Linked DNA regions of Cricetulus griseus. The protein of the gene in region 1 interacts with the protein of each later gene in a biochemical or structural test. Links are inferred from orthologs where the notes say so. Each region holds a gene or a part of one and is shown on either strand. Other genes may lie near its edges.

Region 1 (4,258 bases):
ATACCAAAAACAAAACAACAACAACAACAAAAAACAAAGGAAAGAAAAGACACACTCAGAAACATAAAATGAGAACATAAAGTAAGAACAACAGTGCCAGAGACTAATGACAGCAAGATAGAAGCTAAAATTGAGGAGGGAGCCAGGAAAACCAAGTGAAATACATAAGACTCTGCATGAAGAAAACAGCAATGAAAGACAAAGATTATGACTATGGAAAGGAAATAACTACCAGGTGACTCGTAGGTTTCTAGCTCATGCACCTGAGTACCTGGTGTTGCTGTTTCAGTAAAGAAAAAAACGAAAAGGACCGAGAGAATAAGGATAATGTGTTTAAGTCTCTAGTGTCTGGGTAGGTGTTAGATGGAAATAGGTATGGGAAATAAACATTCAGAAAACAGAGCTTAAGTGAGACTGCTCAGGGAAAGTGAAAGAGGTGAAAGCACCCGATAAATTAAGAATCAATGAAAAAAACAAAATTGGAAGGAAACAAAGAACCACCAGCTTTCTAGGCTCAGTCCAAAGCTTGAAGAATATCCCATTAAATCCGGAAATGGAGCTGTTCTTACAAGCAAGTTGGAGCACATACCCAAATGACAGTGAGGAACCAAGGACACCAAGTGGGCAGTGGCCTTAGCAGTACCCCTAACTGCTGAATAACTAGGGCATCCCCCTATACCTCATCCCTCTACTAGAAACACCTCAGCTATGCAAGTGTACCTCCTGTCCCAAACATCTCAGCCTCACGGACTCAATAGCAATGATCTGGTCGTCAGTGATCCACTGGAATAGCCACTTTCGAAGACTATGAAAAGACCAGGGTGCTAGGATCCTTGACACTCTCCGAGAACCAACATGCTGGGAGACCAGCAGATAATTACCTTAAACTTCGGAACTGGGAGAGAAAAGTCTCTGTTTTTGGACCTGACATGGCAGCGGGGGTCTTGGAGGTCTTCCACTGGCGTATACTTTGAGTCCTAGTAAACAGAATGAGACCAGCATGAAAATCTACCAGGCTATTGACTCTATGAAGCCACATACAGAAGAGCTGGTGTAACTTGCTCATTCTCAGAAAACCAAGCTACAGGTACAGGAGGTCTAGTGTTGGATATTCAACAGGGGGATGGGGGGAGGACCAAGGAAGCCAAGAGGAGGTCTGGTGCACTCACACTGACACTGAAGTGGACTCCATCATAGCGGTACACCTTTTGAGAAGGCCTGCGCAGGGCAGGGTCCAGAGCAGGATCCACTATGAGCTTGTAGTTCCGCCACTGGAAGCTCGGGGCTTTCTGCCCATCTCCCCCACCTTCCTGGTCCATCCTTGCTCATTTACACTGTCAGGAAAAGAGGGATACGCAATGGGGGTCCAAGGCTTCGGCCTGACTCCGTTGCTGTCCCCTCAATGGCTTGCCCAGATTCCAGGTTCTCCTAACAGTCCGGTTTCCATACCTCAGCATGACCCACGGCTCCCTCAGATTCTGCCCTGAGGACCCAGGTTCACCGTAACACTCCATTCCTCTCCACCCCCAATTCTACCCTCAGGGCCCAGGGCCCATCTCGCGCCCCCTTACCTTCCCGCTCTCCCTAGCGCGCCCCACTTGGCCTCCACGCAAGACCCCTCCCCCGTCCCCTCGCAGGCCCCGCCCCCTCCCGCCTCCTCACCGGCCAGCGGCCCGGGCCAAGCCCCGCTCCCGCTCCCGCTCCCACACAGCCGCTCGCGTCCCCGCGCCCCGATCCTCTGGACCAGAGGTGGCACTTCTTCGGGGCGTTGGAAACACCGCGAGACCGAGCCTGAGACCCAGCTTCGGTCCCTGAATCCGGGCGGGCGGGCGAGCGGGCGAGCGAGCGGGCGGGCGCTGGGTGGGGGGGGGGCGGGTAACGCGCGCCGCTGCCCTCTCCTCCCGCCCGGGCGCGTTCGGTGCCCCCCCCACACACACCCCGGCTCCGCGCACTCACGCACGCACGCACGCGCCAGGGCCCTACTCACCCGCTCGTGGCGAGCGGCTCACCCTCCCCCACCGCGCGCAGCACCTCAGCGGCGTGAGGCGGCGGCGGCGGCGGCGCAGCGCGAGACCCGGCCCCGCAGCGGGGCGGCGGCGCCCCCCCACCACCACCTCCCCGGCGCGCGCACCAAACACCACCGCCACCTGCACGAGGCCCAGCGGGCGCCGCGTCTGCATTCGCACTTTCGCCGCGAGCGCTGCGGAGAGGTCCACGGGGCCGAGTGTGGCGGCCTTGCCTCGGGCGGCGCCCTGTAAGGCTCGGGAGTCGTAGCCCAGGGAGCCTGAAGATTGGCCGCATCCCCCGGAGAGTGGACTGCACCACCCTGATCCAGCTGCTCTGGCCTTGGGGTTCGTGACGAATCGGCGGCGACGAAAGCTGCGACGGGCCCCCTGAGGGAAGGGGGGCGGAGCGAGGGGGAGGAGGCCGGCCGGAGCTCGGGAGATTTGAGTGGTGCGTCGGGCGACGCAGATTCGCGAGGCGGGCGGGCGAGCGGGCGAGCGAGCGGGCGGGCGGGGCGAGAGAGTGGACAGGATGCGCGCTCCTTCGCTCCTCTTGCCTGCCCCTTCCTCGCGCAGCTCTAGCGCCTGTGAGGCTGCGCTGCAGATTCGCCACCGTGCTGGGCTCTGGCCGTCACCTCCGCTCACCTGCGGTGGAGTCGAGAAAAGGACGCCCGGGTAGCCGAGCCCCGTTGGCGGTGTCGGCCAGTACTCCTGGATGTTTGTTTCTAGCACAACTCAAGCAGCAGCCCACTTCCGACTCGGGGCGAAATGCTCACAGGGGGGAAAAGTCTCCTCAGAGTTTCATGACAAATCTCAGACAAGGGAAGCTGCCCAGATAACCCTAAGGAGTCGGGTAGCGAATCTGCGGATCCTGTTGTGGGCGGGGCCGACGCGCCGCGCAGAGAGGCGTGGCCAGGCGTGCGGAGCCCGGCGTAACGGGCTGCTTCCCGTAGAATCCACCAAAACCTGGGCGGGATGGGAGGTGGAAAAATACAAGCGGGAGCGGTGACTCAGGCGCTTTGCCGGCCCCGCGTACGTAACGAAGCGGTCGGTTTCCTCCCGCTGGTCCACTCGGGCCCCTGTTATTTCTCGGGCAGAGTAACATCGAACTGGCTCCGCACCGAACGATGACCTCGAGCTCCTGGTCTCTTTGCCCCTGTCTGCTGAGGGCTGGGGTTACAGGTGCGCCGCCGTAACCGGTGTATGGGCTGCTGGGCGTCTGACCCAGGGCTTCTTGCGTGCTGGGCGCCCTAGCTACACATCGCTTGGGCCTGTTTTAAAATGCCCGTTTCACCGACGGGGGATATTGAGCTGTGTCGGACAGACAGACCCAAGGGGCGCGTAACTAGATTTAAAGCTGTCTCAGGGTTCAGTCTGATAAGTTTGAGAGAGGCCTGAGGACCCTTGTGTCCTATGGAAGTAAAGGTCTGATAGTAACCCAGTAATCCACAGGCGGTTCCTAGGCTAGGGCTCCCTGTGCTCACTGGAGCCCAAAGCCAGGGTCTCACTTGGAAGCTTGCTTGGAGCTGAGACTGCGCCAAGGCTGAACACCCCTTTTCATCCAGTGAACAGTGGCATTCCCACCAGATGTGCTTCCGGAGCCAAGGATGCCCTCGGTGGCTCCTCCATAACAGTCCCTCACATTGACCTCCCTTAGTTTCAGGTCATCCCTCCAAGAATAGGTGGCTGTTGGTCACAAAAAAACTTGATGTAACCCTCACAACAGTGTAGGGAAAACTATTGGTGCCTACCTTTTCACGTTTTAATTGACCAAGTAATCAAATGAAGACTGTACAAGGTCTCTCACCACAAGACTGACAGGAATTGTGCTCTAAAATTATGAGGCTGAGGGAAAAAATATATATATATATATATATGAGAGATGTTCCTTTGTTTTGTCTCAGTAGAAGGCTGTGGTAATCACACAGACTGTGTGGCTGTGGGGCAAGAGCATCAGCCTTCCTGGCCTCAGCTGCCTGTCTGAAATGGAAATGATACTTGTTTATTGAGATGACTGTGAGGACTAAATGAGAGAACCTATGAATAGTCCTGTAGGATGAAGTGATCACTCAGGAAGAAACTTACATGAAATCCCAAGTGTAGAAACAAGAGTTTAGAGGCCACAACTGTTAACCACATTCAGATCAGCCTTGCCAGCCCTGGACGGAATCATACCTCACATCAGGCCCATTACCTCCACCTGACCCTTAGGAACAAGTAACCTTACCCAAGGTTTCCCCTTCACCCCATTCAGT
Region 2 (4,428 bases), on another chromosome or scaffold:
CATAAAATAAATACCTAAAAAAATAAAAAGTAAATAGCTCCTAAAGCAAGGCCAGCTTAGATGGCTCAGCAAGTAAAAGCACTTATACACCTGCGCATACACATACACTTTTTTTTTTAAAGATTTTATTTATTACGTATACAACATTCTGCTTCCATGTTTATCTGCACACCAGAAGGGGGCACCAGATCTCATAACGGATGGTTGTGAGCCACCATGTGGTTGCTGGGAATTGAAATCAGGACCTCTGGAAGAGCAGTCGGTGCTCTTAACCTCTGAGCCATCTCTCCAGCCCCCATACACTCTTTTTTATTCATTTACTTTTTGTTTGTTTTCAAGGCAGGGTTTACTCTGTAGCTTTGGAGTCTGTCCTGGAACTCAGTTTGTAGACCAGATGGCCTGGAATTCACAGAGATCCGCATGTCTCTGCCTCCGGAGTTCTGGGACTAAAGGATTGCGCCACCACCACCCGCCACACACACATTTTTAAAGAGGCCTAAAATAGTTCATGATCATTTGGCTTTTGGCTGCATTTTATCTCATAATTCCGAAGTTCTAGTCAGCCAGTCCACAGGATCTTTACTACGTATGTGCTACAGAGGAGGCCAGTTCACACAGCAGGTCGGAACAGGACACCAGATCTGTCCTCACCATCTCAAGCTTTCATGGCAGACTGCATCGTCCTTTTTAGGCTCAGAAACAATCACTGGGAATTGACTGGATTTGCAGTTTGGAAAGTTGCCATCCATTCAGGTTGCATTCAAACCGGTTTTTCCTACTCCTCAAACCTCAGAACAAATTGTAGCCAGGTGCTCTGCTTTGTCAGGTGGCCACTGCAGTCCGGACTTAGCCTTGTCTTCCCCCCTCCCCGCCCCCAGCCAACAATTTCTCTACGTAGATACCCCGATTTTTTACAGGAGGACGTGGAATTCAACCCCTAGTTATTTCCAAGAAGACTCCAACTTTTCTAGTGTTTCCATTTCGTTTGTTTTGTTAACCATTGTCATGATATGTGGGATTCTGGTCACACCTTCCTCTTAGCTGCCAGTGAGTGAAATGTCTCACAGTGAGTGCTTTCCTAGGGTTTCCCCCTCCTCCCGCATTCAAGTTAGCTATCTTCATGCGCTTTGACACTCTCGAAAAAGTTCTTAAAGAAAGCTCTGACATCCTGAGCAGTGATCATGGTATATACCCAATTGAAAGAGGCACACACTTAACATTTTATATGTTGTCCTTCATTAAATTAACACATGGAGGCCTCCTGGGTTGGTGGTGTGGTGGTCAAGCCCCGCAGCGACCGGTTCACCTGAGTCACACCCACGAGCAGGTCATGAGGGGTGACCTCCGCCAGTACCTGCGGCCTCAGGGGCACCTGAGTCTCCCTGGGGAACGGCTCACAAAGGCACTAGTCCCGAGGCGACCTCAACTTTCCCGCCCTCAGGAAGCCTCTGGACGCTCCACGCCCGCAGGCCTCCCCTCTCCACACCAGCGACCGGCGACTTCCCGGTCCACCGACTTGGGAGCCCGCCCCGCTGACGTCATCTCCCCGCCCCCGCAGCGCGCGCCTCAGTTCCCGCCCCGCCCCTTTTCCCGGCGTCCGCCGCGGCAGAGGCTCCTCGCCCTCTGATTTTGCTTCTCCTTACAAGATGGCCGACACAATGAGCCGGCGCATCGCCGGTTGGCCCTGAAGCGACTCTGGGGAAGAACGGTCAGTGAGGTTCCCGTCATCCCGCCGAGAGGGCCTTGCCCGAGGAGGTCGGCGCGGCGACCCGACTGTCAGACGCCGCCCCGGTAGCCGCCAGCGCGGCGCCCGCACGGCTGGGGTTGGCCCTGAGCAGCCCGCCCGCCCGCTCGCTCGCCCGCTCGCCCGCCCGCCTCTCGGCCCCGCCCCGGCCCTGCGCCGCCGCGGCTGCCTTCAGCCGCCGCCGCCGCCGCCGCCATGAAGCTGACCGACAGCGTGCTGAGGAGCTTCCGCGTCGCCAAGGTGTTCCGCGAGAACTCGGACAAGATCAACTGCTTCGACTTCAGCCCCAACGGGGAGACGGTCATCTCCAGCAGCGACGACGACTCCATCGTGCTCTACGACTGCCAGGAGGGCAAGTGAGTGTGGCGGTGGCCGCGGGCCGGGTTCCAAGCGCCTCCCTCCCCTTCCTTGTGTCGCCCGTCCCCGGCTGAGCCCCCACCCCCCACCCCCAGCCTGTGGTGTGCACCCCGCCTCCATCCTGCAGTGGTGCAGCCCCCTCCTGTCTCTGTAAAGCCAGGGTGGTCCTAGTCAGCGCTAGCGTTGCTGTGCCGGGCGTGCGTCTTTGGTCTCTCCCGAGCGCGCCCGCTCTCCAGACCCCACCTTGACCTTGACCTTTAAACGCCGCGTCCCTGCCCCCGGCGGCCAGGCGGGTGGCCCTTCCCGCTCCCCTGCCTGTCAGAGGCTGCGGGTCCCCCGGCTCTGAGCTCGGCGCAGAAGCGGAGGAGCTGTGGTGCCCGTCCGTCAGCGGCGTCGGCTCTCTGCCCTCACCGCGGTGACCTGGATTCAGCCCTGGCACCGCGCCCGTCCCCCCTGCCCCTCGGCTTCCAGCGCGGCCTTTCTGCCACCCAGCCCCGCGAGAGGCAGTTTTCAGCTGTCAGGATTTATCGGTTGCGCCTGTGCGTGAGCCTGCTGCCTTTTTCCCTGTGCCGATACCCACGCTTACAGTTAACTTGTTAAACAGCCTCTCGGAAACTTTTCAGTGCCAGGCTCGGGCGAACTTGGCCGCCCCATTCTGGTCAGAATGTGAGCTCCCTTTAAGACAAAGAAAGCGTTCTGGAACAATTTAGTGTTTCCTTTTGCATTACAAAAAAAAAAAAAAAGTTTACTCGAGTGCGGCGGCCCAGCCGCCAATCTCAGCATTTAGGCCACAGAGGCAGGCAGATTCCGAGTTCTGGACTTCATAGGCCAAGACTCAAAAGGGTTTTAAAAAAAAAAAAAAAAAAACCGCCAGTGTGTAGTTTGCTTGGAATTAACAAAACTCTGGATCTGGTTATGGGAGTTATGTGTTGGTTGGATAACCGCTATGGTTGTGTGCCTTTGCTGAGCAGATCACTTTGCCTTTTTCATAGCCTGAGGTGGGAGAGACGTTGTCTGCCTGGCCTCACCCTCTAGGTCCAAGTCCTTTGCAACAGAAACTAGTGTAGGCTAAATTTGATTTCCCTTGTCAACTTCAGCTGCCTTTCCTAAGCAGGAGATGTTTGGTTTAGTTTAATAGCTACTGTTTTTGACATTTTGTTAAAGTTACCTATGTTTTTGAAGCCTTAACTTTTTCTCTACTTACTCCATCTGTTCCTTTTGTTTCATTTTTCAAATAACAGACAGTTTTCTTTTGGAACTTGTCCCTCTGCATTTATCTAAAGTAAGGCTGTGTTGTAGACTAAGCTGCATATGTTTTTCTTGACTGTTTTCCTCACTGGGACTATAATAAAGTATTATGTAACTGTCTCTGGACCTGCCTGCTGTGTGTGGAAGAGTTCCCTACAGTGGTGATCCTGGGGAAAGAGAATCACAGATAGTTGTTTGAATTGATGTTCGTTTTAGTGTGTTGGTTTTTATCCTGCTCTGACCATTTGAGTTTGTTTGGAAGAGCTGGTAGGATTTAAAGTTGGGAACTGGAAGTAATTTGAAGTTGGTTTGCTTGAAATATTTAGTGTAGTACATATATGAGAATCTTCCCCCCAAAAGTTGAAGTGGAAATGCATATCCCTTATTCAAAGAAATAAAATGCTAAGACTAATTTATGTATAAAACCTTTTTACATGATTACAGACTTCATAGAACGTTACCAGTGTTCCAAAGAAATTTCTTGAAGAAAAAAAAAAAAGGCGCTTTCTTGCTCCGCAGTGCCTGTAATTCCAGCACTGGGGTAGGAGACTGGAGGTGGGAATGTTGGGATGCAGCTTGAACTACATAGTAAGATCCTGTCTCAAAAAAGAAAATATAAGAGCTGGAGAGATGGTTAAGAGTATACTTGGTGCTCTTACAGAGGATCTGGGGTCAGTTCCCAGCACCAGCATGGAGGTTCACAACCATCTGTAACTCCAGGGGGTCTGACTCCTACTTCTGACTTCCCTGATACCAGGAACATGTAGACATACACACAGGCAAACACCTATACACATAAAAATAAAGTAAATAAATATTTTTTAAAAGTTGTTTTAAGAAGAAAATATGTTTTAAAAAAGGTTTCTAGGAACTGGAGAGATGGCCCAGGGTTAAGAGCATATGCTAATCTTGCAGTTCAGTGCCAGAACCGACCGGAGGCCCACAACTACATTTAACTCCAGATCTGATGCTCTCTTCTGGCCTCCATGGGCAATAGCCATGTAAAGGGTGCATATTATGTAGATGCAGGCAAAACACTCATATACATAAAATAAAATCAGCAAATCTAAAAAAAAAAA

What was found.
Region 2: the proteins of Setd1a (region 1) and Wdr82 form a complex in vitro, tested with the Homo sapiens proteins (2 studies listed by BioGRID). The link is inferred for Cricetulus griseus from reciprocal best matches to the Homo sapiens genes SETD1A and WDR82.

The regions. Positions count from the first base shown.
Region 1 is NC_048596.1:72,994,070-72,998,327, forward strand, and holds the start of Setd1a (histone-lysine N-methyltransferase SETD1A), read right to left. Parts: upstream 2,844-4,258; 5' UTR 2,649-2,843; intron 2,370-2,648; exon of another isoform or gene 2,148-2,369; intron 2,136-2,147; exon of another isoform or gene 1,988-2,135; intron 1,804-1,987; exon of another isoform or gene 1,663-1,803; intron 1,335-1,662; 5' UTR 1,320-1,334; coding exon 1,170-1,319; intron 978-1,169; coding exon 882-977; intron 1-881. UniProt on the Homo sapiens protein: Histone methyltransferase that catalyzes methyl group transfer from S-adenosyl-L-methionine to the epsilon-amino group of 'Lys-4' of histone H3 (H3K4) via a non-processive mechanism.
Region 2 is NC_048597.1:214,372,970-214,377,397, forward strand, and holds the start of Wdr82 (WD repeat-containing protein 82), read left to right. Parts: upstream 1-1,605; 5' UTR 1,606-1,939; coding exon 1,940-2,100; intron 2,101-4,428. UniProt on the Homo sapiens protein: Regulatory component of the SET1/COMPASS complex implicated in the tethering of this complex to transcriptional start sites of active genes.